7 linked regions of the Sus scrofa genome follow. The protein of the gene in region 1 purifies or fractionates together with the protein of each later gene. This does not show direct contact. Links are inferred from orthologs where the notes say so. Each region holds a gene or a part of one and is shown in the gene's direction. Other genes may lie near its edges. The genes, in order: PPP6C, ANKRD52, TIPRL, ARHGEF2, PPP6R3, PPP6R2 and ANKRD44.

Evidence for each region.
Region 2: the proteins of PPP6C (region 1) and ANKRD52 purify together in Homo sapiens (affinity purification with mass spectrometry; 6 studies listed by BioGRID and IntAct, with this or other methods). This does not show direct contact. The link is inferred for Sus scrofa from reciprocal best matches to the Homo sapiens genes PPP6C and ANKRD52.
Region 3: the proteins of PPP6C (region 1) and TIPRL purify together in Homo sapiens (co-immunoprecipitation; 4 studies listed by BioGRID and IntAct, with this or other methods). This does not show direct contact. The link is inferred for Sus scrofa from reciprocal best matches to the Homo sapiens genes PPP6C and TIPRL.
Region 4: the proteins of PPP6C (region 1) and ARHGEF2 purify together in Homo sapiens (affinity purification with mass spectrometry; 4 studies listed by BioGRID and IntAct, with this or other methods). This does not show direct contact. The link is inferred for Sus scrofa from reciprocal best matches to the Homo sapiens genes PPP6C and ARHGEF2.
Region 5: the proteins of PPP6C (region 1) and PPP6R3 purify together in Homo sapiens (affinity purification with mass spectrometry; 10 studies listed by BioGRID and IntAct, with this or other methods). This does not show direct contact. The link is inferred for Sus scrofa from reciprocal best matches to the Homo sapiens genes PPP6C and PPP6R3.
Region 6: the proteins of PPP6C (region 1) and PPP6R2 purify together in Homo sapiens (affinity purification with mass spectrometry; 9 studies listed by BioGRID and IntAct, counting the BioPlex papers as one, with this or other methods). This does not show direct contact. The link is inferred for Sus scrofa from reciprocal best matches to the Homo sapiens genes PPP6C and PPP6R2.
Region 7: the proteins of PPP6C (region 1) and ANKRD44 purify together in Homo sapiens (affinity purification with mass spectrometry; 5 studies listed by BioGRID and IntAct, counting the BioPlex papers as one, with this or other methods). This does not show direct contact. The link is inferred for Sus scrofa from reciprocal best matches to the Homo sapiens genes PPP6C and ANKRD44.

Annotation. Positions count from the first base shown.
Region 1 is NC_010443.5:265,895,347-265,899,405, reverse strand, and holds the start of PPP6C (serine/threonine-protein phosphatase 6 catalytic subunit), read left to right. Parts: upstream 1-1,259; 5' UTR 1,260-1,357; coding exon 1,358-1,432; intron 1,433-4,059.
Region 2 is NC_010447.5:21,654,290-21,658,508, reverse strand, and holds the start of ANKRD52 (serine/threonine-protein phosphatase 6 regulatory ankyrin repeat subunit C), read left to right. Parts: upstream 1-1,419; 5' UTR 1,420-1,538; coding exon 1,539-1,565; intron 1,566-1,872; coding exon 1,873-1,956; intron 1,957-2,416; coding exon 2,417-2,495; intron 2,496-2,698; coding exon 2,699-2,769; intron 2,770-3,772; coding exon 3,773-3,973; intron 3,974-4,219. UniProt on the Homo sapiens protein: Putative regulatory subunit of protein phosphatase 6 (PP6) that may be involved in the recognition of phosphoprotein substrates.
Region 3 is NC_010446.5:82,791,966-82,796,173, reverse strand, and holds the start of TIPRL (TIP41-like protein), read left to right. Parts: upstream 1-1,408; 5' UTR 1,409-1,620; coding exon 1,621-1,724; intron 1,725-1,771; exon of another isoform or gene 1,772-3,156; intron 3,157-4,208. UniProt on the Homo sapiens protein: May be a allosteric regulator of serine/threonine-protein phosphatase 2A (PP2A). Isoform 1 inhibits catalytic activity of the PP2A(D) core complex in vitro. The PP2A(C):TIPRL complex does not show phosphatase activity.
Region 4 is NC_010446.5:94,067,891-94,071,390, forward strand, and holds part of ARHGEF2 (rho guanine nucleotide exchange factor 2), read left to right. Parts: coding exon 1-92; intron 93-297; coding exon 298-423; intron 424-736; coding exon 737-854; intron 855-1,056; coding exon 1,057-1,305; intron 1,306-3,351; coding exon 3,352-3,428; intron 3,429-3,500. UniProt on the Homo sapiens protein: Activates Rho-GTPases by promoting the exchange of GDP for GTP.
Region 5 is NC_010444.4:4,411,922-4,415,421, reverse strand, and holds part of PPP6R3 (serine/threonine-protein phosphatase 6 regulatory subunit 3), read left to right. Parts: intron 1-289; coding exon 290-420; intron 421-2,798; coding exon 2,799-2,920; intron 2,921-3,500.
Region 6 is NC_010447.5:338,728-342,992, reverse strand, and holds the start of PPP6R2 (serine/threonine-protein phosphatase 6 regulatory subunit 2), read left to right. Parts: upstream 1-1,465; 5' UTR 1,466-1,595; intron 1,596-4,265. UniProt on the Homo sapiens protein: Regulatory subunit of protein phosphatase 6 (PP6). May function as a scaffolding PP6 subunit. Involved in the PP6-mediated dephosphorylation of NFKBIE opposing its degradation in response to TNF-alpha.
Region 7 is NC_010457.5:100,870,878-100,873,786, reverse strand, and holds part of ANKRD44 (serine/threonine-protein phosphatase 6 regulatory ankyrin repeat subunit B), read left to right. Parts: intron 1-1,029; coding exon 1,030-1,277; 3' UTR 1,278-2,345; coding exon of another isoform or gene 2,346-2,404; 3' UTR 2,405-2,909. UniProt on the Homo sapiens protein: Putative regulatory subunit of protein phosphatase 6 (PP6) that may be involved in the recognition of phosphoprotein substrates.

The DNA of each region.
Region 1 (4,059 bases):
GATTCTTAAATATGCATTGCTAGAACTCCCTTACTCGGCTTTTTTTTTTTTTTTCCCCAGCACCTACCACTTTCTAATATACTCTACGGTTATTTACTATAGTTATTATTTACTGTCTCCTTTACTAGAATATAGCTACAGTTAGAGGATAGGGATCTTTGTTTTGCCTGCTGAATACCCCAAGCATAACTGTACTTGGCATTTAGTTAAGTGTTCAATTAATAGCTGTTGAGTGGGAGTTCCTGTGTGGCTCAGCCTAGGGTAAGGAACTCAACTAGTATCCATGAGGATGCAGAATTGATCCCTGGCCTCGCTCAGTGGGTTAAGGATCTGGCATTGCCCTGAGCCCTGGTGTAGGTCGAAAATGTGGCTGGGATCCCAAGTGGCTGTGAGGTAGGCCGGCAGCTGCAGCTCTGATTTGACCCCTAGCCTGGCAACTTCCATATGCCAAAGGTGAGGCCCTAAAAAAAAAGAAAAAGAAAAAGAAAAAGAAAAAAAGCTGTTGAGTGAAGAAATGTTGAAAGTATACTAAGTGCCAGGCTCTGTTTTTGGTGCTGAGAGTACAACAACAACAAAAAACCTCTCAGCTCTCGTGGGACTGAAGTAGACTTAAACCAACCAGACCTATTCCAATCTTGGCTTCCCGACTATTCCCTATTGAGATCAGATTAAGAGTTACATAACCTCTCTGAGCCTTCCTTTCCTATCACTTGTTATGAGGATTACACGGAAAAACAGCATTTGTATAACGATTAGCATAAGAAGTGCTTAGTATTTGGTCCTTTTCTTTCCAGCCTGGAAAGTTGGTAACCTATCTGTCAAGGGTTCAGCCAAGGTTTTCACAGGGCCTTGGAAAGGTGCGAATAGGTTGCTACGATGGCCAGGCTTATCCAATTTTTAACTGAAGACATTCTGGTGAGAGAATGCTTAAGAAGGTCGGCGTGAGAAACTAGGGAATGGCTAGGTAGAGTCACCTACTTCGCTGTTTTGTACCGGAAAAGCCTCGCTGGGTTCCGCAGAGGTGAAAGTCCAGAGGAAGAAAAGAAAAAGAAGACTGTTTGGTACTTTGGAAAACTACAAATCCCAGCAACCCCCGCGGCAGACCACTAAGGGTCTCAGCCGGTCTTGCTCTATGCAAACTGGGGGCCTCTAAGGGCCCGCAACCTGGTTTTAGCCGGCGAGGGCGTGGGGCGTGCCAAGGCAGCGGGGAAAATCGGGTCAAACTTTACGCCGCTGCGCAGACGCCTCTCACAGGCCGGATGTGACGTAGGGAGGGTTCCGGCTTCGGCCTCCGCCGCTGCCGCAGCTAGTAAAGCCGCCGATATCGCCGCCGCTGTCGGGGCTTGTTATTTCTAAAATGGCGCCCCTGGACTTGGACAAGTATGTGGAGATAGCGCGTCTATGCAAGTACCTGCCCGAGAACGACCTGAAGGTGAGCCCGGCCGAGGCGGGAACGCTGCTTTCGGGGCTTGTCCCTTCCGGCAGTGGGGCGCCCGCCGGCCCGCCCTTCCTCTCTCCGCGGGACCCCCGGCGGGATCCTGTCCCGTCACGGTGGAAGGCCTAAAGCGGTGCAGAGGGACCCGGTCCGACTGGACGTCACGCGGGGAGAGGAGGGGAGCCCGAGTCTGCCGAATGCTGTCCCGGTTCCCTCCGCGGGGTTCCCGAGGGATGTGTCACGGCCTCTGCCCCAGAGTTGCCGCTCCTGGCCTTGGGGCTGCCCCAGGGCACCGAGCCCTAACAGCTTTGCTTGCAAGACCCCCTTTCCTTCAGCTCGACCCCCGGTCTTCCGGAGTCCGAGCCGGGCCCCCGCGGGGAGTGGCCTGGGTTCATTCCTCCAGGAGCGGGACGGGAACGCGGGGTGCCGGCGTCTGACAGGAGATGCCGCCGGCCGCCGGCACGCGGCCCCAGTGTGTTTCTTTCCCTGAGAAATGAGGGTGGGAAAGGGCTGATGGGGGTCCGAGCGGTTTGATGGTGATGCGAGAGGACGTCAAGTCGTCCCTCTTCCGGACCGCTCACTTCTCCCGGTTGCTTTTTAGGAGTGTTGGTCTTCTTTCGCTAATTACAATATGACCCTGTTTTCGAGTACACTGTTGAGCTAATTTATGTGCATAAAGTAGTGGGCTCTCGATAAATATACTTTTCTGTCCTTTAAGGTGTTTCCCCCAAGTCCCTTCTTAGCTCTTTTCGTTTTCTTGGTTTTTCAAAGGAGATGAGTCGTTCCTTGTACTGCCGAGTCCGGGTAACAATAAATGTGTGTTTGGGTAAAGAAATGAGTGGAAGAATAAAGAGAGATAAGTCTTTGGGATACTGCTTTTTAGACAGGTGTTGCAATGCGTTTGTTAAAACCAGTGCTCAAGCGTCTAGCAGTGTTTGAGCCATTAGTACTAGCGCATGTTTTATGTGTTAAGCTAACCTTGATTTGATGTGTGGAGCATGCACAAACTGTTGATACTTTTGAGTCCTTTTTATTCTTGAAGCTCTGGGTTTAACGTAATTTATTATTGTCCATTAACTTTTTTTCCCCTTAAGGAAGATATTACTGGTTTTTTCTTTTCCTCATAGATACTGGTCGGCTTCGTTATCACTGAGCCATAGCGGGAACTCCCTTGGATTTTCTTTCGACTTCTTAGTTTGATAAACATTAAGTTTCCTTCCCAACCTAAGAAAATATAGTTTTTAAACCATATCATTTCTCTTTGCAACACAGTTGGACTGCACTTAGTGTGTATCTGTTCTTCCCCCCCGCCCCCCCCCCCCCCCGGCCAACTACTAGAAAAAAAAGAGTTCTGATTTTTTTCTATGTAAGTGGAGGCTTCTCTTCTTTGTCTTGGAAATGTTTTTATCAGATTAATTTTCTTGTACTGCATCTCTTGTGTATTTAAAGAAATTTAATTTTATACCTCTTGGCATGAAGTACAAACTAAAATTAAGCCTGCCAAGAAAGTATTCCAGGAGCACTTTTTCTGAGGCGTTAAAGCCAAAGTAAAATATTCCATCAAAGGAACGAAATAAATAATTGGGGCCACTTAATGATCATCATGGAAAAAGATTTGTTCTGGTAGAAAAAGACAGAAATTTACCTGTGTTTTAAATTTAGTTGGAGGTACTAAATGAAATAAATGCGGGGAGTTCCTGTTGTGGCTCTGTGCAAACGAATCTTATTAGCATCCATGAGGACAAAGGTTCGATCCCTGGCCTCGCTCGGTGGGTTAAGGATCTGGTGTTGTCATGAGCTGTGGTGTAGGTTACAGATGTGGCTTGGACCTCACGTTGCTGTGGCTGTGGCATAGGCCAGTGGCTGCAGCTCCTGTTCGACCCTTAGCCTAGGGACCTCCATATGCTGCGGGTGCGGCTCTAAAAAAAGAAATGCGTAGGATGTTCCAGATCTAATCATGAAATCTCTATATTTAAATTGGAAGTGGTTAGATTGCTAGTCCTTGAACAAATCTACTTAACTGTTTTGAAGGAATAAGGATGATATGTGCAAGTGAGTGGACCAAAGCATAATCTTTCTTAAAAAAGACTTCATGTGATTCTCATCCACGGTAAATATCTCACAGTGTATCATAGAAGGTGTAGATTCCATTTGTGGCCAGTTGGAAGAATGAATGATAAAATGCAGGTTTATTGAATATTTAGACTTTAGAATTTTGGCAGAGGAGAGATTCTATGACTTGGAGATTGTCTGATCTCTCTGACAGTTCTCAAAGGTGCCGCGTAAGTAAAGAAGTTGCACACTGAGTTGGTGTTCATTTTTTTTTACTGAAGAACTGAAGATGGTTTCTGTGGTAGGAGTTTGGAGAATATTAGTGTCTATCTCATGTAATACAGGGAAAAATAACCACCTTTATGGATAATAGTTAATGTAATCTTTTGGAGACTCACTTTTATGTTTAGTTTGAGCCATCTCTGAGTTTTTCATATAAGGCCACCTGCTCTGCAAAGTCATACCTGTTTGAAGTGCCTTCGTAAAGCTTCAAAGAATCCTCCCTTGCTGTTTTCTGAGATTTGATGAACTACTATCTCACCTCCTTATTCAGCCTCTATCTGATCTTATAG
Region 2 (4,219 bases), on another chromosome or scaffold:
GCCTCAGCTGTGGCATATAGAGGTTCCCAGGCTAGGGGTCCAATCGGAGCTACAGCTGCAAGCCTATACTACAGCCATAGGAACACAGGATCTGAGCTGTGTCTGTGACCTACACTACAGCTCACAGCAACGCCAGACTAACCCACTGACTGAGGCCAGGGATCGAACCAGCAACCTCGTGGTTACTAGTTGGATTCGTTTGCACTGTGCCACAATGGGAACTCCAGCAATATTTCTGCCTTGATAGGAGGCCAACAAGATATTCTTTCTAAAAGTGTTCCTTTCTTAAACACATGATTTGCTGACCTCTAAACAGGACACTGTTTAATTTAATGTATTTATTTATTTGACTGGGCCTATGGCATGCCAAAGTTCCAAGGCCAGGGATTCAACCCAGGCTACAGGAGCGATCCAAGCTACAAGCAGTGACAACCTGCTTAATCCTCTAAGCCATCAGGGAACTCCCTACCTTTCATAAATCGTATCCGTTTTTCAATATCCACTTTTCTTCTTCCCTCTTTTTCCCTTTCTGGGAAAGGATAACCTCCATCCAAATCTTGTCTGATTGGCAGCTCTCTGGTCTCTTTCATGGAAGAGGGGAAGCACCTCATCCCTTTTCTGGAGAGAAACCATCGAGACTTTTATTTATTTTAATTTTTTATTATAGTTGATTTACAATATTCTGTCAATTTATGCTGTACAGCAAAGTGACCCAGTCATTCCATTGAGCCTTTTAAAGTGTAGCCACCCTACCACCTTAACCTGGCAATGAGCAATTAGAGAATTGAAAAGGCCCCTTCTGTTGCTCTTGGAGGCCGTCTTCGGCTGCCAGCTGTCCTAGACTCTTTGTGGGGTTTTCTGTGGCTGAAAGTCCTCGGTTTTATTTCTCTGCCATTTGGGCAGTTTTGCTTTCCTTTCTACTCAATTCTTGTCACCGCCGGTGGAGATACGCACCTTCCCTCCCTCTGGGGCCATTGCCATACATAATCCCCCGATCTCTACACCCCTGCCTCACCAAGCCTGTGTGTGTGTTTGGGGGGGGGGTGGATTTTGAGGTGTGTAATCCTGGGACCGGAGGAGTTTGCTCCAGCGGAGGCATTGTGGGCTCGGTGAGATCTGGCCAGCCGTTTGGTCCTCAGGTTGCAAGGTACTGCAGCAGGGCCAAGGCCAGAATTGCCGCTGGAGTTTCGCAGTGAATCCTTCGGGTCTCCAGACTGGAGCCAAGAGCACTGCGCTCCGGGCCTGGGGGAATCGGGGACCCGGAGAGCGAGGTCGGGGGCGCCGGGGCTGCTCAGGCAGCCAGGGCGGGGCGGAGGGCGACGCGGACCCAGTCTGCCTGCGCGGCAAGTGCTCTGCGGCCGGGCCCAGGACGGCCGCCAGGGAGCGCTGCGGGCTCCCGCTCGCCCGCCCCCCGGTAGGCGGGGCCGCGCTCTCCCCGCAGCCGCCGCCGCAACCGCCGCCTGGGCCGCCCCGTGTCCCCGGTGGAGCCGCCGCCGCCGCCGCCGGGAGCTCGATGCGGACGGAGCCCGGGCCGGGCCATGGGGATCCTCAGCATCACGGACCAGGTCAGCCCTCCTGCCCTTACTCGCTTCCTCCTTCCAGGGCCCGGCGCCGCCGCCACGCGAGCCCGGGGATGTGCGGCCTAGGTTGGGCCCGAGCCCGGGGCTCCCGCCCCGCCCCATGCCGCGGTCCCCTCAGCCAAGCCGGTGTCCTTGGGGGCCTGGCGACCGGCGGAGACGCCGTGGGAGCTCCCTGCAGCCTGGACCCCGGAGCAGAGCCCCTCCAGCGACGCCCCCCCTAAAACCGGGTGTCCCCCGCCCCCCTCCCCGGTTCCGCTCCGGCCCGCTCCCTGAACGCCGGTTCTCCCTGCAGCCGCCCCTGGTCCAGGCCATCTTTAGCCGAGATGTGGAGGAAGTGCGTTCCCTCCTCTCGCAGAAGGAGAACATCAATGTGCTGGTGAGTTGGGATCAGGGAGGATGACGAACCGGTAATCTCGGCCCTGGTGTTCTGGACCCCTCCCCACTAATGGGGCGGCTCCGTGTCTCCTCGGCTCGCGTGAGGCCGCAGCTCTTTCCACCCTGAGACGGGAGACTGCTCTACATTTGGGGATGGAGAGCAGGTCAGGCTTGGAGCACAGACTAGTGGGGCTGAGGATGCCCAGAAACGGTGTTCTCTTCTGAACCATCCGTGTCTGCAGCGCCCCCACCCTCCTGGAAGAAGGAGATTGCTTCGCCGGCCCCTGGCCCAGACCCCTTCACTCCACCCTCCCTAGGTGTTTGCTTCGACCTAGGATCGGGATTCACGAGGCTGTAGAGCCTATGGGAAAAGGTTGTGGGGAAAAGCTTGGAGCACCAAGACGGGCTGAGGTCCTGGATAGTTCCACCCCCACAGCCGCTCCTCTTTTCTGCCTTCCCAGGACCAAGAGAGGCGAACCCCACTGCATGCTGCTGCCTACGTAGGCGATGTCCCCATCCTCCAGTTGCTACTGATGTCAGGTGAACAGTGGGGAGCTGGAAGGTGTGGCACCTAGGGAGGGAATCTGAGGGAGGAGCCCTTTTTTTTCCGTATCCAAGGATTGTCCTCTGGTGCTTGGTCCAGGCAAGGTTCCTTCTCCATCCAGATTCCCTGGCCTGATTACTGGCTTCCTTCCCCACCTGCTCTCCACCTCCCACCAGAAGAGCAAATTATATCCCCACAGGTGCTAATGTCAACGCTAAGGACACACTGTGGCTGACCCCTCTTCATCGTGCTGCTGCCTCCCGAAATGAGGTACTCGCCTCCCTCTTCCTTTCACCCTTCCAAAGAGGATGAGTTGGTTAAAGGTGGAAGATAAGGGTTGGCGCTTCTCCGGTCCTCTGGCCTACAAGCTGGTCTACCCTCAGATGGGGAGGAGACCAGACCTTGGCCCCTCCCTCCTACCCCTAGAACTGGCTGGTAAGGGGGGTGCTGAGTGTTGCCAGCTGATGTGACGTCAAGGGAGAGCTTAGCACTGGGCTGTCAGACTGCAGGGGGCCCTGCTGCCAGGCCTGAGTGACTCATCCCTCCCTGGGGGGCCACCTTGGAGTCCGATCCCCCTCTGGGCACTGAGATTTCTTCCTTGTGATGGAAGGGTGGGGGTGGTGTTCTGTTGCTTCCTCAACAGAATAAAAGTTGGCAGCTCAGGGATCAAACATGTTTCATCTGTTGGGTCCCTCAACCCTGAAGAGTGGGAAAAGGAGACCTTCCTCTTGGTTTGGCAGTCACTTCCCTGGCTCCAGCCACCAGGGGGAGGGACAGAGGCCAGTGGGAATGGGGGTGGTGTGTGACTAGGAGGGGCATTTTAGCCTTGAGTTATGGAGCGGAACCAGTATCTGTTTGCTTACCTAGGTAATGGAATTGATTTTGATGTCTACGGAAGGGCTGACAGGGTGGGGGCTGCTGTTGAGGGCATTAAAGTAGCGGGAATATATTCCTAGAAGTGATGGGGGATTGAGATCCTCTATGTGTAGATTTGCTTGGTAGTGGCTATATATGTGTAGGTGGTGATTTTCAGGATCTAGGTTGGGGAATGGTACCAGGTAGCTTGAGGAAGAGGTCCATATTTTCCTCAGCAAGGTAGGGAAGATTTTAAGCTCTAACAAGATCCAAAAGATGGGAAATAGATGTTGAGAGACTAGGTATGTTGGAAAAACAAAAAGAGACTCTGTGCTCAGGGTGTGGGGAGATGGGACCATAGGTACTGTGCTGACCTGTTCGTCCCTCTGTCTTCTCTCTTATCCCTACCCCTCCACAGAAGGTGCTGGGACTGCTGCTGGCACATTCAGCAGATGTGAATGCCCGGGACAAGCTGTGGCAGACACCATTGCATGTGGCTGCTGCCAACCGGGCGACCAAGTGTGCTGAGGCTCTGGCACCCCTATTGAGCAGCCTCAACGTGGCTGACAGGAGCGGGCGCAGTGCCCTGCACCACGCAGTGCACAGTGGGCATTTGGAGGTGAGGGCCTCTCCAGTGCAGTCCCAGCCTCATGCCTTTTTCCTTTCCTTCCTGCTCACCTTACCCTTCTTCTGAGCCTTCAGGCCTGGGGAGGAGCAGCCCAGATGATACAAACTCTTCAGCTTAAGCACCCAATGAATGATTGGGTTAGATTGAAATTCTTTGGAGTTCCTATGGTGGTATGGCAGAAACGAATCCGACTAGAAACCATGAGGTTGCAGGTTCGATCTCTGGCCTTGTTCAGTG
Region 3 (4,208 bases), on another chromosome or scaffold:
CTAAGAAGAAGGAGTGATTAAATCCAGCTCCAGAGTTCAGAAAAAGCCTTTTGGAGGAGATGTATCATTCCAAGGCAGATCATCCCAGGTTAGGGAAAGGGATGGGGGCTGGAGAATCTATAGTTCTAAAAGGTGCCAGGTTGACTCTGAAATGGGACAGGTCTGAGTATGACAGTTTCAAGCAGATAGAACAGCAAGAGTAAGGGCCCAAAGGTTGGGCTGAGTGCTGGTGAGTAGGGCTGAGAGGGAGTTGAAAATGGGGCCAGAAAGAAAGATTTGGGAGAAGTTCCCATTGTGGCAAAGCGGAAACGAATCCAACTAGTATCCTTGAGGATTCAGGTTTGATCTCTGGCCTTGCTCCAGTGGGTTAAGGATCAGGCATTGCCGTGAGCTATGGTGTAGGTAGCAGATGATGCTCAGATCCAGCATTGCTACGGCTGTGGTGCAGGCTGGTAGGTGTAGGTTGGATTTGACCCCTAGCCTGGGAACCTCCACATTCCTTGGGCACAGACCTAAAAAGCCAAAAAAAAAAAAAAGATTTGATAGACACCCTAAGAGCAAGGGATTTTTTTTTTTTTCTAATTTATTTTGGCCCCGCTGGCATGTGGGAGTTCCCAGGCCAGGAAAGCATACTATTTTAGGCAGCTGAAGCCAAAATCATTAGTTAAGTGGTTTGCCAAGGATGCATAAAACATCATTGTAAAAGATGATTTAGTACGGGTCTAAAGTGCTGTTTCCACTATACCAGATGCTTAGGTGATAGCTAGACCAGGAAAGTCCTGAAATGTCTGAACGATGAATTCTTTTTTTAGGGCCACACCCACGGCATAAGGAGAGTCCCAGGCCAAGGGTCAAATAGGAGCTATAGCTGCCGGCCTATGCCACAGTCACCGCAATGCCAGATCCCTTAACATACTGACTGAGCGAGGCCAGGGATCGAACCCGCAACCTCATGGGTCCTAGTCGGATTAGTTTCCGCTGCGCCACGACAGGAATTCCTGAATGAGGAAATTTTTGATAGGAGTCTTAATCGATAGCAGCTAGATGTCCAATTCTGGGTCACGTAGCTCTTGATGTTGACCTAAGCTCCTGGACTCTTAAGTGATTTTAAAATTTTGGCCTCAATGGGAAAATGTAGGGCATTTCCTCTCTACCCTAATTCACCAACACGCGAGGTAACTCGCTGCTTTGCAAAGTTGGCTAGGATCACGTTCAACTCACCTTTTCCACCGTGGAGCTTCCATTAAACATGCCCTGAGACGACGTCATTGCAGCAGCTCAGGGAGCGGTGCACCCCGACCACACCTCCTGAGTCGAGGCCTCTCCCCTCAGCATTTTCTCACCGCCTTTTTCCCGGTGCGTCTTGACGTAATACGTAGGTCACGCAACCTTGGCAACTGCTCCCGGAAGCAAAACCCGAGGGGCGGAGAAGAAGGTGGAAAGTTGGGCCTGCGTCCGGGTCGGCCGGCAGGGGGCGGGGCCGGGCATGGTAACGGCTGGGAAGCCGAGGGGGCTGGGCCGGAGCAAGGCGGAGGGAGCGGTGTCCGCTACCGCTGTCGCTGCCGCTGCCACCGCTGCTCCAACCTGTTCTGCGTAGCCCACGCGGGCTCCATCGCAGCCATGATGATCCACGGCTTCCAGAGCAGCCACCAGGACTTCTCCTTCGGGCCCTGGAAGCTGACGGCATCCAAGACCCACATCATGAAGTCAGCGGATGTAGAGAAGTGAGACTCCAGGGCTGAGATCCGGGCGCGGGCTGGGGAGCTGGGCCTGCGCGGGAGGCAAGGGCGAGCTCCCCGCAGCCCCAGCCTTCCTCTGGGGCGGAGGCTTGGACGGGACCTTTGAATGGCAACACCAGGAAATATTGCTATCACTGCCTTCTGTCCTTCGGTTCAGGTTTCAGGCGCTGCCTTCGTGAAACTGTCATTCCGCTTGGGTTTGAGCAGAGCATGACTGTTCCGGTGGACTTTCGCCTCCCATGGTTCTCTACCTGCCCCAGCCTGCGCCACCTTTAGACTATTTCTGGGTGGCTGTGACCTCTTTTCTTGGGGTTTAATAACGGAGATGATATATATGCTTGATTTTTAGCTTGTCAGGTGCTATGCCAGGCATTTAAGATACAGAAGACAATCCCGACCTCGAGGAACTCAGTCTTGTGAGAATGACAGTTATAATACAGTGTGAATTGATAGAAGTGTATATACAGGGTTATTCGAGATTATTTAGGGAAACAAGGCATGCGGGAAATTGGGATGTCTGCACTGAATCTTGATAAAGTCGGTGGAATTGGGTGAGGGTGGAAGGCATGTGTAAAGGTGGAGGGCCAGGGAAAGTGACAGCTGTGCCGCGTTTGTGATGCCTGAGCTCGACAGAATTTGGGGGTGACAGGAGACACGTGTAAAGCTGGGAGGTCAGAGAGAGTGGGAGCCTTAAAGCACTGTTTCTGTGTGATTGCAGCATGAAGGATCGGAGGGGGACTGCTGTTGTGAGAAGCCAGAGGCAAGCAGGTCCTTGGGCAGTAAAGATAACTGAGAGAACTTTTATGCCGGGCTAAGGAGTTTTGATTTGGGGGCGGGGGGGCTATGCTCGGGACATGTGGAAGTTCCCTGGCCAGGGATGGAATCCACACCACAGCAGCAACCCAATCCCCTGTAGTGACAGCAGCTGGATCCTTAATCTGCTGCACCACAAGAGAATTTAAGTAGTTTTGAGTTTTATCTGACTACCACTGGGGGTCTTTTTTTTTTTTAAGTGTTTGGCCTCACCTGTGGCACATGGAAGTTCCATGGCCAGGGGTTGCACCATAGCTGTTGTATAGTTATGCTGTAGGCCACAGGGAAAGTCCATGGGTGTCATTTTATAGAAAGGAGCGATATTATCAGATTACACCCTGAAAGAATTCTCTGGAGCTGATGCAGAGGATGGATTGGAAGGATGTAGGCCTGGGTAAGGAGACAGTTGGAAGGGGAGAGAAGAGAGATTTTAGAAGATTAAGTCCCTGAATTTGATGGCTGCTTGATAGGAGGAGGAAGGAAAAAGGAAGAATCTGTACCATTGGCAAGATTTCTGGCTTGCTGTTGCAGGGAAAGCATTGCTATTGGACAAGGTGAGAAACACAGGAGGAGGAGCAGAATGGAGGCATGTGTTGGATAGAAGGTGAGATTAGTTTGTTGAAGAGTGTCTTAGGCATTTATCTTGGAGCTTAAAAAAAGATGACTTGTCCATGATTTAGCTTTGGGAATCATCAGCTTATAGTTGATATACCTGAATACCTGGGAGTGAATTAAAATCATTTGGAAGTCAAACAGAAGAAAAGGAAAAGGTTATGAGATGGGACCCTAGGGAGCACAGGCATTTTAAGATTTAGGTAGAGGAAAGTAACCAGGGAAGAGAGGAGAGTCATGAAAGGATATTTAACTTCCTAATTAAAAAAAAAGGAAACATTCTCACAGTCACTAAGAAAAATTAAGAAAATACAGAAAAGAAAGGAAAAAGAAATCCCTTCATCCTATCACAGTTACTCTGAGTTTTTCGCTCCATGTAACTTTCTCTATTACATATTGCACCACATATTTGTAATTGTGCTATATATGAACTAGTCAGCTTCAAATTATGATTACCCATGTAATTTTCAGACTATTTAAGAGGTACTAGATGGATGGAGAATTTTGTTTTGTTTTGTTTGTTTTTAGGGCTGTACCCTAGGCATGTGGAAGTTTCCAGGCTAGGGGTCCAATTGGAACTGCAGCTGCTGGCCTACAGCAACGCCAGATCCAAGCTCCATCTGTCACTTTCACCGCAGCTCTCTGAAACACCGGATCCTTAACCCACTGAGCGAGGCGAGGGATTGAACCCACATCCTCATGGATACTAGTTGGATTCTTTGTTTTTCAGGGCTGCACCAGCGGCATATGAAAGTTCCCAGGTTAGGGTTCAAACTGGAGCTGTAGCTGCTGGCCTATGCCACAACCACAGCAATGCCAGTTCCAAGCCTCGTCCGCAACCTACACCACAGCCCCACAGCAACGCTGTATCCTTAACCCACTAAGTTAGGCCAGGGATAGAACCCTCATCCTTATGGATATTAGTCGATTCTTAACCTGGTGAGCCACAATGGGAACTCCATGGAGAGTTTTAAGAGAATCAAATTCCAGATCTTGAGAATTCCATCACGGTGCAGTGGAAATGAGTCCTACTAGGAACCATGA
Region 4 (3,500 bases), on another chromosome or scaffold:
GCCAGCTGTTAGAACGCCGACGCCAGGCTCTGTGCCCTGGCAGCCCCCGGAACTTTGTCATCCATCGCTTGGGTGACCTTCTCATCACCCAGGTGAGAAAAGACAAGACCCATGGGCAACATTCCTGGGAGGAGGTGTGACTAAAGTCATTTTTCAGCTCCAAACTCTAGGGGGTGGAGCCAGGGAGAGCTGGAGAGGCTTGGAAGCCAGCCTGTATGGCAGGAGACTAGAGGGTGTGGGGGATAAGAGGTGGCTTTGGGGGAAATGCTGACCCAGCCTTGCTCCCCCAACTTCTAGTTCTCAGGTCCCAGCGCAGACCAGATGCGGAAGACCTATTCGGAGTTCTGTAGCCGCCACACCAAGGCCTTAAAGCTCTATAAGGAGCTCTATGCCCGAGACAAACGCTTCCAGCAGTTTATCCGGGTGAGCAACCCTCTCCAGGACCCAAACTCAGAACCTCCTCCGGTGGTCCAGCCCTTGTAGACACATCTGCCTGTGGATCCTGTCAACAGCCCCCCATAGCAGTAGACCAAGTGCTTTTGCTACTTTGAGCCTCATGATAAACCCATGGCCTTGTCCTCCCCATTTTCCAGTCTCAGTCACCTATGCCAGCCAGCGCATGGTAAATGGCCAAGCTAGGGCCCACACCAGGGCTTAGGCTCCAAGTCCAGGGTTCTTTCTGTTGTCCTCGGCTCGGGTCCCACCTTGGCCCTGAGCCCTGCCTCTGTCCTTCTAGAAAGTGACCCGCTCAGCCGTGCTGAAGCGCCATGGGGTACAGGAGTGCATCCTGCTGGTGACTCAGCGCATCACCAAGTACCCGGTGCTCATCAGCCGCATCCTGCAGCATACCCACGGTGAGAGGGAGGACCCGGGAGGAAAGAAGATGGGGAGAGGGCTCTCTGGGGTGAGAAGCGGCTTGGGATAACCAAGAGGAGAGATAGAGTCAGCTGTGGGACCGTGGGCCACCTCTGATGGTGAGGTGAGATGGGTTGGAGTATGGTGGCTGGCATGAAGCTGGCTAAGCCACTTCTCCCTCACGCCGACCCGTGGTGCCAGGGATCGAGGAGGAGCGCCAGGACCTGACGACGGCACTGGGGCTGGTAAAGGAGCTGCTGTCCAATGTGGACCAGGATGTACATGAGCTGGAGAAGGGGGCCCGCCTGCAGGAGATCTACAACCGCATGGACCCCAGGGCCCAGACCCCAGTGCCTGGCAAGGGCCCCTTTGGCCGAGAGGAGCTTCTGCGGCGCAAGCTCATTCACGATGGTTGCCTGCTCTGGAAGACAGCAGCGGGGCGCTTCAAAGGTCAGTGGTCAGCTTGGCAGACCAGGGAAGAGTCTGCGAGTCCACGATCAGATTTAGAGAGGGAGAAGCATCCAAACACTTAGGACTTTTTTTTTTTTTTTTTTTGGTCTTTTGTCTTTTTAGGGTTGTACCTGTGGCATATGGAGATTCCCAGGCTAGAGGTTCAATCAGAGCTATAGCTGCCAGCCATAGCCACATCAACATGAAATCCCAGCCACATCTGTGACCTACAACATAGCTCATGGCAATGCGGGATCCTTAACCCACTGAGCAAGGCCAGGATTGAACCTTCGTCCTCCTGGATACTAGTCGGGTTCGTTAACCACTGAGCTACTCCTCCTTCAGGACTTATTTATGCAGCCCTATATCCTGGGTGAAACCTCATGGGAGGAAAATACATGTTCTCTGTTGCAACAAAAGTCTGAATTCTGGATTTAATTTCATGGGCCATACAAGGACTTCCTTAGTGATTTTTTTTTTTTTTTTTTTTTGGTCCTTGTATACCCAGAAACCTACCAGTTTTGATCAGGAAGACAGAGAAATTCCAGGGTCAGAGATCAGGGTTGATTCTTCCAGCTTGAATCCCAGCTGCTGGGGCTGGGGAATGGGCAGGAGTTTTGGGAGCACAGTTGGGGAAGGCCCAGGGGAGGGGGCGGAGCCCAGGGAGGGGCCAGCAGGGTAGAGAAGAGAGTACAGAGGGGGCATGTTGGGGCAGGGCATGCTTTCCCAGGCTCTCTTCCCAGACTGCTCTGGCCAAGTCTTTCCTACCTAAATCAAGACAAGAGAGTTGCAGTTTTCGGCTTTGGGGGTGAGGAATGAGGGGCAGAAGTAACCAGTACTACCTGAGACCAGAACCTGCCTGCACCTCTGTCCCATATCATGAAATCCCCACTCCATGGGCTTGAGTATCACAGGCTTCACCAGCCACTTTCCTTCATCCCTTTCTCTCCTCTCATCCCTCCCACGCAGAAGCTAAGAATATAAACTCTGGGGGGGATTAAAAATAGCAAGGCTGGAGAGCTTTATTTCTGAAGCATTTAGTGAAAGCCCTCCCCTTCTGTGTGCCCACTATTAGATCTCCAAGGGCAGAGTGAGTGTGTTTGCTTGACTGTGCTATCCAGTTTTCATGGGCTTGACCTTTGTTTCCCCCAAGTCTTTTTTTTTTCGGTCACGCCTGAGGCATGCAGAAGTTCCAAGGCCAGGGATCAAACTGGTACCACAGCAGTGATAATGCCAGATCCTTAACCCTTCTTGGAGGCACCAGAGAACTGCCCCCTAAGTTTTAAATTGAGAGCACAGGACCTCGTAGGATCTTGAGAACCTGGAAGGTGGGGTAGAGAAGGAGCATGAAAGCAGGGCCTGCTGAGGTTGGAGACTGGGATTGTTCAACGGTGGGAGAGGGGGATAAGGAAGCTAGCTGCTCCCCTCCCTGCGGAGGAGCACAAAATGAGAAGTAGGACTACGCCAGGGTAGGGGCAGGGGTGGTGGGATAGGGTGACCTTAGGCCAAATGTCCAGAAAGGTCTTATGATTGTTGTTTGACATGGAACTGAAAGGCTTAAAAACAGTAGTCCCTCCTACTGTGGATGGAATCCTTTTACCCTCACATAAATTCTGGACCTTTGCACACTGAAAATTACACGTGTGTTGTATGAATATGTAAAATTGCTTATGCAACTTTGGAGGCTTTGCAGAGCCCTGAAGCCCAACAGTGGACATCCTAGGGATCTGTAGACCCCAGGTTAAGAAACCTGCATCCCCTGGATAGAGTGTTTTTTTCAAAGGCATTGGGTGATTGCTTATGGGCGCTTTAGCCCAAGAAGCTGTTTTATCTAATGGCACATACATTTTTCTCCCAATTCCTGAGCTGTAAGAATGGATCAGGGGGAGTCTGCAAAGGTAGAGGGAGCAAACCAGAGGCAGAGAGATCAGGAAGAGGGGAATCAGGAGCTCTAGCCTGACGGGGTAGACCTGGTTCCTGAGAAAGGGAAACAGCTGCTCACACCCTCCAATGCTGAGTGTTCTCCTGCCTTTATCCTCCTGTCAGATGTGCTGATGCTGCTGATGACAGATGTGCTGGTGTTTCTCCAGGAGAAGGACCAGAAGTACATCTTTCCTGCCCTGGTGAGACCTTCCACCTTCTCCTTTCTCAGCACAGACAAGTGTTTCAGGCCCCTTCTTGATTTCCTACTCCAG
Region 5 (3,500 bases), on another chromosome or scaffold:
GGGGTGGCAGGGAGGCTCTCAGGCTTGAAATGAGGCTTTCATTTGGTGGCAGTGGGTGTATGTGGGCAGGTTTCTTGTCTGCCGGTTGTGAAGCCAGTCTTTTGGGGGGGACTTTTGGTTGTTACTTACCCAGAAGCTGACATTTGATGCTTATCACGTTTTATTTTGGTGTATGTGGTAGGGTGCTGTTCTTTTTAAGGGACATGGAAGAATTCATTTACATTGGTGAGTTTGGGAGAAAATAACTTGGCTTTCAGATTTGTTCTTTTGGTCTCGTCTCTTTATTTAGGGGAACATTGCCTTGTTTGAAGCTTGCTGTAAGGAACGAATACAGCAGTTTGACGATGGGGGCTCTGACGAGGAGGACATCTGGGAGGAAAAGCACGTCGCCTTCACGCCGGAGTCCCAGAGGCGATCCAGGTGAAAGATAGTGCGTCGTCGTCGCAGCCACAGCACCCAGTGCACAGAGCAGATGGTCCTTAGGAGACACTGTATCCTCTCCAGACGTGCGCTTGACCGAGAGGCCGGTGGTCCCTCGTGATGAGAAATGCCGTGATTGAGAAACAGGTGTCGCGATCAGTGGGCTGCGGTGTGAGGAGAGCATGAGCAAGCCAAGGAAACCTCCTTGGGAACCCCCGAAGGGAAGACAGTGCTTAGTGTTTAGACGGAGGTCCGGCGCCGCCGTGGGGAGCGACGCAGTGCTTTGGGTGGACGGTCCCTTAGCAGTGGCAACAGCAGCCGTGTGAGGAATCGCTTCCTAGGAAGACTGAACGTCTCCCTGGGAAGGGAAAAGTTGCCTCTAAAAGTTAATTTAACTTGGGGAGACGGCGTCCCGTCGATTGGTATCCATCGAGCCTCTCCCCCCGCCCCCAGTTTCTAAAATTCAGTCGGTCCAGAAACCCCAATTAAAATGCAGAGCTTGTCAGACTGGTTGGAAAATAAGGTCTGACTTATGCTGCCTGTGGGACATAAATTATTTAAAAACTCAAGTTGTAAATTAAAAAAATTCAAACAGGTTAAAGGAAAAGGTAGAGGAATCTGTATGAACATTCAAGTAGATTTAAAGGAAAGGGTGAAGAAAGGGCCACAGAGCGGCGTTAGGAGGGCGTCCGAACAGCCCCAGGTGTCCCACAGCTGCGGGGCTTCCCAGAGCAAAGCTGCTCGAGCTGCGCAGAGAAGCAGGCGGGAAGCGTGTGCCAAGCGAGGCCATACTGGGCCATAGAGCAAGTCTCAGTAAAAAAGTTTCAAGTCATGACTAAATACGCTCTCTGCTCCCAATGGAGTTAAATGAGAAATCAATAAAAGAGCTCTAGAAAGTTCCAGATATGTGGAAACTAAAGAACATGCGATGAAAGAAGAAATCAAAGGGGAAATTACATAGTGTTTTGAATTGAAAGGAAATGAAAACGCCGTCTATCAGAATTTGGAGGTTGTAGCTGATGCAGTACTGAAGGGATCGTATGCTGAAACCTGTACAACGGCTCAGAGAAATCAAGGCTTGAGAAATGTTTATGGACTGGAAGACTTAAGATGACAGTTCTCCCCAGGGTGATTTCAGTTGAGTGCGTTCTCAAAGTCACAACGGCACGGATTTTTGGTATTGACAAGTAGATTTTTAAACTCGTATTGAAAATGCGAAGAACCTGAAATAGCCAGAACAGCTTTGGTAAATAACAGACTTGAGGTGTTCACACTGCCTGTTTTCACTGTGCAGTGATTGAGACAGGGTCCTCCTTCAGGCAGGGGCCAGGGCGGGGACAGGATAGAGAGCCCCCAAACAGGCCTGTGCACGCGTGCGTGGGGCCCTTGGTGTGTGGTGGGAGGGGCAGAGGCTGTGCCGTGGAGAAGGATAGCGTTTTGAAAAACGGGTGCTGGAGCAGTTGGATGTCAGCCTGTGAATCAGGGAATTTGGTCCGTAGCCAACGTGGATACACGTTAACTGAGAGTGCGTCTTAGACCGAGGGTGCAATGTAAAACTGGAAAATGTTTCCTAGGAGCCCTTCGTGTCAGGCAGAGATTTCCAGGCTACAGCACCAGAAGCACCTGCCTGAGAGGAAATTTTGATAACTTAAGCTTTATCAAAATTAAACCCGTTATTTTTCGAAGACACTTGAGAGAATGAAAGGACGTAGCATACGTTAAGAGAAAGCCTTGGCACATCACATGTCTGATGAGAGATTGCCAGGTAGAGGATATAAAGAACTCTCAAAACTCTAGTCACAAAAAAATGATGGGAGTTCCCGTCATGGCTCAGTGGTTAATGAATCTGACTAGGAACCACGAGGCTGCGGGTTCGATCCCTGGCCTTGCTCTGTGGGTTAAGTTGCCGTGAGCTGTGGTGTAGGTTGCAGACGTGGCTCGGATCCTATGTTGCTGTGGCTCCGATTTGATCCCTGCCCTGAGAAATCCCATATGTCGTGGGTACAGCTCTTAAAAAAAAAAAAAAAAAAAAAATGGCTAAAGGTGTGAAAGACACTCGAGAAAAGAAGGTAAGCAGGTGACCAAGGGCCCTTGAAAAGAAGCTCATCTCCTAGGCCCTCAGGGCGGGCAGACCCACCGCCAGGGCCGCCGCCACACACCCGCCGGAGGGCGCTGGGTTAGCTTGTGACCTCTGTTCTCCACGCAAAGCCCAGGAGGTAGAGCCGCTGATGACCAGGCTTCGTCTTAGCAGGGTGCCAGGCAGGCAGGTGTGACCCAGGTGAAGCGTGGCACAGTTTGTGTGGTTGCATAACTCGAGGTCTTTGAACGTAGTGGGTGGCCGGTGTGCAGCATCACACGTCTTGGTCCTTCTTTCTTAGCTCGGGGAGCACAGACAGTGAGGAGAGCACGGACTCTGAAGAAGAAGATGGAGCAAAGCCGGACTTGTTTGAACCCAGTGGCGCCAACGCGGAGGACAAGATGGAGGTGGACTTGAATGAGCGTAAGTCGCCTTTCTCTTCTGTGCCAGTGCCTGAGTGTCGGACACGGACGTTCCAACCCGGCCCCCTGGCCCGCGGCGTCCGAGTCGCGCTCTGAAGGAGCAGGCGGTCCTCTGAGTCCTCAAAGCGGTGAGCCTCAGGGACCGGGCCTCGGGGGGAGCGCGTCGCGCCTCTGATGGGAGCGCGTCTGTCTGCAGCGGAAGCCCTCGGGGGAGAGCCTGGCTGGGGACAGCGCGCGGGCACGTCTGCCCCCGGCGTGGAGACGGGGTCCTGCGGCCGAAGGGGGAGACCAGGGACCCCGGAGCCGTGAGGACACGCTGCGCTCTTTAGACTCGGGACAGCGGAGGAGCTTGACAGTTTCGGGCGGGGTCCTGAGCCTGTCTGAATCCCGTGATCCTAAGACTGGTTTAGCCAAGGGCTAGTGGATATTTTGTTGTTTGTTAGGAAGGCTTGCGTTGCTGGCCTTTGAAAAAAATACGTTAACTTCTAAAAGCTCGGGTAAATTTTTATGTGAAAGAGCCGTGCGGGTTGATACCGGCCTTGCTTCAAAACTGGCAGTGCTTCCTGTTACCCAGGAAGGCC
Region 6 (4,265 bases), on another chromosome or scaffold:
TTTTCAGTCTCCAATTTCATCAACTTCATCCAGTATATATTTTTACTTCAGATGTATTTTTTCAGTTGTAGAATAGTCATTTTTGTTTTTCTATGTAGTTTGAGTTCTCTGCTGAGATTTTACTTTTTCACTCATTCTCTCTATTCTGCTTTAAGTCCTTGAACATGCGTATTATAACTGTGTGTGGCAGGCACAGCCAAGAAATAAATAAAAATATAGCTATCATGTCATTTTAGAAGAGAATTGTAGTGTCATCTAATACCAGTCCCTATTCAGATTTCTCCAGCAGCTTGAAAAATACCCTCTTCCAGGAGTTCCCCTTGTGGCTCAGTGGAAACGAATCTGATTAGCATCCATGAGAACGCAGGTTCAATCCCTGGACTTGCTCAGTGGGTTAAGGATCTGGCATTGCCGTGAGCAGTGGTGCGGGTCCAAGACGCGGCTTGGATGTGACGTTGCTGTGGCTGTGGTGGAGGCCGGCAGCTACAGCTCCGATTCAACCCCTAGCCTGGAACCTCTATATGGCTTGGGTGCTGCCCCCAAAAGACACACACACACACGCTCTTCCAGTTGATTTGTTTTATTTTTTTATTTTTGATTTTTTTTTTTTGTCTTTTTAGGGCCATACCCATGGCATATGGAGGTTCCCAGGCTAGGGGTCGAATCGGAGCTACAGCTTCCAGCCTGCACCACAGCTCATGGCAATGCCAGATCCTTAACCCACTGAGCGAGGCCTGGGCTCAAACCTGCAACCTCTTGGTTCCTAGTTGGATTGTTTCTGCTGCGCCACAATGGGAACTCCTAGTCGATCTGTTTTAATTGGACCCAAACAAGATCTAAATATTACATTTGATAATTATGTCTCATAAAGCTCTTATGTTTCAGAATGGTAACTCCTTATTGCTAAAGTATAATTTTCAAAAGTTAAAAATCATGATCCATGCAAACACAAAATAAACAGTTCTGGGCCCTACTGGTTCGTTTTTGCTGCATGTCTTGAAGGCAGTCATCTCAGCAAGGACCACTAGTCATGTTGTTTGGAAGGGTGTTTTGAGACCCACCAGGAGCGCTTGGGAGTTCTCCTCTTCTGACGTAGCGATGGATCATCAGTGAGCTGCCCGGTCACCTCGCGACCAGGGTCAGCGGCCTGGTCACCTTGCCACCAGGGTCTGTGTTTCCTGCTGATGGTAGTGTCTGGGCATGAAGCTGGACACCTTCAGGCCCGAGAGCCTTCTCATGTCCTTGTATTCTAACCGTTGAGGTAGTTAATAGTTAACAGACGTAGGACAGGTGTGTATCATTGGTACCCGTCTCTAGAACAGTCAAACGCAAGGAAGTTTCTAGACCCCTGATTATAAAATTTGATTAGTAAGTAAAGACAACGACTTGTTTTTCTTTTCCTTAGCATTTTGGTAAGTTAACTTCACAAAAGCAGAACCTAAGTTTTTTCCCTCTTATTTTTCAGGTGAAGAGATTATAAATCTTCTATTGAGTGAAAATATTTTTCTTAAGGTTGCATATACGCCAAGAAAAAATCCCAAATGTTTTTATATTTTGCCTAAATACAAAGTTTAAACAAGAAGTTTCCACGGAAGGTAAGATAATTTTTGTTTGATTCTACTTTATTGTGTAATTTGCGTAAATATGCTGTATAAGTGGACATTCAGAGATGGATGACAGCAAAAAATTTCAGTTTTGAAGATGTGCATAGAGTTTCCTGACTTGTGGGTTTTGTTTTCTTTCCTTTTTTGGTTATACTGGCAGCCTATGAAAGTTCCCAGGCCAGGGATGGAATACGAGCCGCATCTGCAACCTGGGCCACAGCTGCTCCACGGTGGGAATGCCACTCCTGGGGTTTTTTTGACCCTCCTGTGTCTGGTTTTGAGATGCCGTGTTGCGAAAAAGTGCCTTGGTCCCTCCAAGCCCAAGTGTAATCCAGATAAAAACGGGTGCATTGGGCGTGTGTAGAGAGGCCCATGCCCTGCCTTACCTGTGGGAAGGCCTCCACCTGCCAGGTGGGATGGGGGGACTTGTGCTCCTGCAGCGGTAGGTGCTCCTGAAAGGCCTCCCATTGCCGTCCACTGAGAGGCTGGGTAAATGACAGATGCGCGACCTCTTGTGAGTGCCCTGGCGCAAGCTAACTGCTCAGAGGCCGAGAGGACAAGAAGAGATAGCACCCTTTCGCTCCTTGCTGAAGAAAGCGTAAATCCTTTTCAGAGCAAAGCAGACTCAGTGTAGGCCCTCAGGACTCCACTGATTAAATGTCAGCAAACTTGAGCACACGCACACACACCTTGTGATCGGAGTGGGCATGATTAGGTGCCCCAGCGAGTGCAGGCGTCCAGTACTCAGACACAGTATATGTGATAATGCGTGAAGTGTGTAAAGAAATACAAAATGGAATAAAAATTAGTAATGAAAACCGAAGTGTCACAGTGATCCACTTAGAACTTTCAGAAATGAAAAAAAAAGTTGAAATAAAAAACTCAGTACTTGTGGATTAGACAGATTAAACATGACTGAAGGCAGAAGTAGTGAACTGGAATATATCCCTAAAGAGGCTCTCCCGGGTGCAGCCGGGAGACGGGAGATGGGAAGTGGCACTCAGAGAAGTGGAGGGTGAGGTGCGTGTCCTGAAAAACACAGTTGGAGCCCAGGATGGAAAAGTGGGAAGAGGAGGAGAGCCGTTACGCAAAGTGTTAGTAGCTTTGACTCAGCGAGAGAGAGAGAGCGTAGCTTTAGAAAGCACTCTGTGTCCTAAGCAGTGTAAACAGGAGGAAACCCCGAGCTCCCCCTGTGTCGCAACGGGAGCGGTGATGTCGGCAGCGCTGGGATGCAGCTTCAATCCCCAGCCTGGCACAGTGGGTTAAAGATCCCCGGCATTGCCACAGCTGTGGTGTAGGTCGAACTGTAGCTCGGATCTGACGCCTGGCTGAGGAACTCCAAATTCCTTGGGGAGGCCAAAAAGGAAAAAAAAAAAAAAGGTAACTCACACTCCTACATTGAAATTGTACGGCAGCAAAGACAAAAAAGCCTTAAGTGAGGTTGAGCTAGGTCTCCTTAGCTTGAGTAGAGGCCGATAGAGAGCAGAGCAGTTCCTCCGTGTGGTGAGAGAATGTACATTTCAGTACATGTTGTGCGTCAGGTATATTTGCAGAAGAACAGCACAGTTTTTCTGTGCTTTTGGTAAATGTTGGGCTGGGTATTTGCACAACCTACTACCCCACATTTCCTTACCCTGTAAAAAAAAACAACTAAAATTGTTGCATTCAAGAAAAAAAACCAGGAGTTCCCTGGTAGCCTAGCGGTTAAGGATTCGGCATTATCGCTGTTGGGGCCTGGGTTTGATCCCTGGTCTGGGAACTTCCACGTGCCTCACGTGTGGCCAAAAGAAAAACCAAAGGACTGACAATAGAGCAGGCAAGTTTTAGACCAAAATGTAACAGAATTATAACCCAGAAGGTGATTTAATCAGGATAGGATGGACTCTGCCTTGGCCTCAGGACATTTGTTGGTCTGGACAGAGTGTGGCTTTGATTTCAGAGGCCTTGTTGTTCTCTGCAGGGGAGATGTCCAGTTCTCACAGTGTGCAGAGAGCTTAAAGGGGGCTCTTCTCGGTTAAGTGGGGCCTGGCGGTCGGCGTCCTCGGAGGCAGGGTGAACTGGAAGTGTACCTCCTCACGTCATCCCGGCCCCCACCTGGTTATCTTTTACTAAACGTAGCAGGGGGAAAAAAGCTTGTGGCAGTGGATGGACCTTTAAAGGGCGTGTAGCCCAGGTCTACATTGCCTGGTAGTTCTAGGACGTGAAACATGAATTGAAGGTTTTCTGGTTTGGTAATGCCTTCAAACATCCATGGGACCAAACTTAAAACCTCTTTGGAGGAAGTTACCATCATCCTAAAATGCAAAAAATTGGAGTTCCCACTGTGACGCAGTGGTTAACAAACGCGACTAGAATTGATGAGGACAGGGGTTCGATCCCTGGCCTCGCTCAGTGGGTTAAGGATCCAGTGTTGCCGTGAGCTGTGGTGTAGGTCACAGACGTGGCTCGGATCCGGCGTTGCTGTGGCTGTGGTTTAGGCCGGCAGCTGTAGCTCTGATTAGACCCCTAGCCTGGGAACCTCTGTATGCTGTAGGTGTGGCCTTAAAAAGCAAAAAAAGCAAAAAAAAAAAAAAAAAAAAAACCCCAGAAAACCCTAAAATGCAAAAACTCCCTGTGGGTGTATGTATACTTTTGGCCATACCTGTGGTGTGGGGCAGTTCC
Region 7 (2,909 bases), on another chromosome or scaffold:
CACGACTTGATGGCAATCAGCCGTTTCCCCACATCTTTTACCTTTAGGATTTGGGACTTTGGCTGATGGGGTTGCTATTTTTTTTTTAATTCCGTTTAAGTTTCTTTTTTTTTTTTTTTTTTTTTTTTTTTTTTTTTTGTCTTTTTTTTGCTATTTCTTTGGGCCGCTTCCGCGGCATATGGGGGTTCCCAGGCTAGGGGTCTAATCGGAGCTGTAGCCGCCGGCCTACGCCAGAGCCACAGCAACGCGGGATCCGAGCCGCGTCTGCAACCTACACCACAGCTCACGGCAACGCCGGATCCTTAACCCACTGAGCAAGGGCAGGGACCGAACCCGCAACCTCATGGTTCCTAGTCGGATTCGTTAACCACTGCGCCACGACGGGAACTCCCTAAGTTTCTTTTAAATGATAGCACAGTCACAACCATTGCTTTCCCATGTCTGATCTACTCAGATGATTCCATTTCTTTAGAACCAGTTGCCTGGTGTGTGCTTCATATAAAATGCATATAACGTGACCAAACGGTGTTACTGACTCCCACAGACACCTGGATCTCAGTATCCTTTCTAACCTGATACACGAATACCTACAGTGGAAAGTCATTGTTCTCAGAATGAGAGTGCCTGGCCCCTGCCCGAGGCACGTGGTGTGTGCGTGTGCTCTCAAGGGAGAATGTCTTTTTTGATTGTCCTGTGGCTGTTCTTTGTGGAATTGTGCCCTACCCCCGCCCCCTCGTGTTTCTGTTCACTAGATGAAGACTGGAATTCTGCCTAACTTCAGATAATACAGTGCTTGTTGTTGTCATGTAAGCCGGGGGCGGGGGAGAACCAAACCAACCCCCACCCCCGATCCAATGTCTCCCCCTCCCGGTCCCCTCCAGCCTCGCCCCAAGCATGACTTGCGGGAAGTTAACTCCTCTTGCCTGGCATGATTGCTAACTTGACATACATCTTGAGATGTACTGCGGGATGCTCACGCCGCACTGGACTGCCCAGACTAACCACTGCCTTGTCTGCATTTACGCCCAGGTCATACCCCGGCCCTGGCTTGTGCTCCTAACAAAGAGGTGGCTGACTGCCTGGCCCTCATTCTGGCTACCATGATGACTTTTTCTCCTTCCAGCACAATGACGGCTGTCAACTTCGTTTGTTTTAAAAAAGACAGTTTGAGCAGGACGACCCTCTCCAACCTGGGTAGCATGGTTAGCCTGTGCAGTAACAACGTAGGCTCGGAGGATGGGTACAATGAAAATGATTCTGATTCGGAAACGTTCTGACTTTGGACTGTAGCAGCTTTTCCTTGATCACCCATGTTGGAGCAAGGGAAAGAAGTTCGAATTCCAGGTTAATGTTGTGTTCCAGTATTATTATGGGCCCAAGCTTCCAGAAGCCAGTAGAGAAGGAATTCATCAAACCGAGGGAAGGCAGCTAGGCCGTAGGGCAAAGCACCCATGCAGATGGGCCTCAATTTTGATTTGTTTCATGTTTTCCTTAGATCCAAGATACTTCTATGGAAAGTCTACCTCTCATTTTAAGTAAGGAATGAAAAATGCATTTAATTCTTTTTCTTTGAGGATCATGCAATTATTGAGAGGGAGCTGTTCTCTGTAAAGCTGTTTTTTTTTGTTTGTTTGTTTTTTTCATGTACTTACTCAACCGTGAGTTCTCAGAAGTATATCAATGTGACATTCATGACCCCAAGGAGGGGAAGGAAGGGGTGGATAGGAAATGCCTCAAACCTCTTCTCACTTTGATGTTTACCTCCTCACTAGAAGCCAAAGGTAGAGGTGTTCATCTTCAGAAATAATGCCTGTAATAATCTTTTCAAGGGAGTCCAATTATTCATATCCTCTCAACAGTAAGCCCTTAAATATCCAGAACTTCTTTTTGAGGATTTTTGTGACAGTTGCCAGAGGAAGGGAAAAATTCATTGAAAACCAAACTCGCTTTCTTCATTTAACACAAACACAGCACCCAGCGCTCCCCGTAACAAGCCTGCGACTAATTTTAACCTGATTCATTGAGTCCCAATCTCTTTAGTAACATTTCAGGAGAAAAGTGTATTAAACCAAAACCTTGAGACATATGCAGATGTAATATGACCCTTTGTACATCAAAATACTAGTTTTATAAAAGCCTAAGAACCATCAGTGTTGTTCCTCAAGAGTAAAATGTGAAATGAGCTCCCCAGTCAAGGTCATGACCAATGAGTGGAAATGTGACGACCAAAGGGAACAAAGAAAGTGGAAACATGGGGTAGACATGGGTGATATGGAAATTAAAACCAGTTAAAGTTGCTTGAGGATGAAATCACCATAGTGAATACTGTGCTCCCTCTGCCAAAGCTTCTAGGTCAAATGGACCCCGTTTCGCACCTGGATTAGCTGTACAAAAAGAAGAATGAGACTCTTTAAATTATGCAATTAAACACGCACACATATGTGTATGTGTATATATGTCTGTAGTTCATCAGCCAGCTATACATGAGGACCAAAATGCTTCAATCTAAAATGGAAGATTTAAATTGTTTTCCTTCAAAATGAAAATGAGAACTGAAATAGCTTTTCTATGGAGTTAAAAATGTAATCTTTTTGTGTAACAGTCTTTGTTGTGTTTTATATTTCTTACGACACAGATTTCTAGTTGATGGCTTAACATTTGTAACTGGTAATGTGTTGACCATGGCTTATTTTTTGCCAAACTAGAGAAAATGTTCCTATACTTTTGATGTAAATGTGTTTATATTTATTTGAAACAAACAAATGCCCGAGGAAACATCCATTGTTTATTCTCTGTTTTAACTGCTATGTGTCTTACTTGGAATAATGACAAAGCCGGAAAATACAAATACTGCTGGCTTGCAGTCCTGGGGCCAAGCCCAGCATTTCCACTGCTGAGGTTTCCATCCG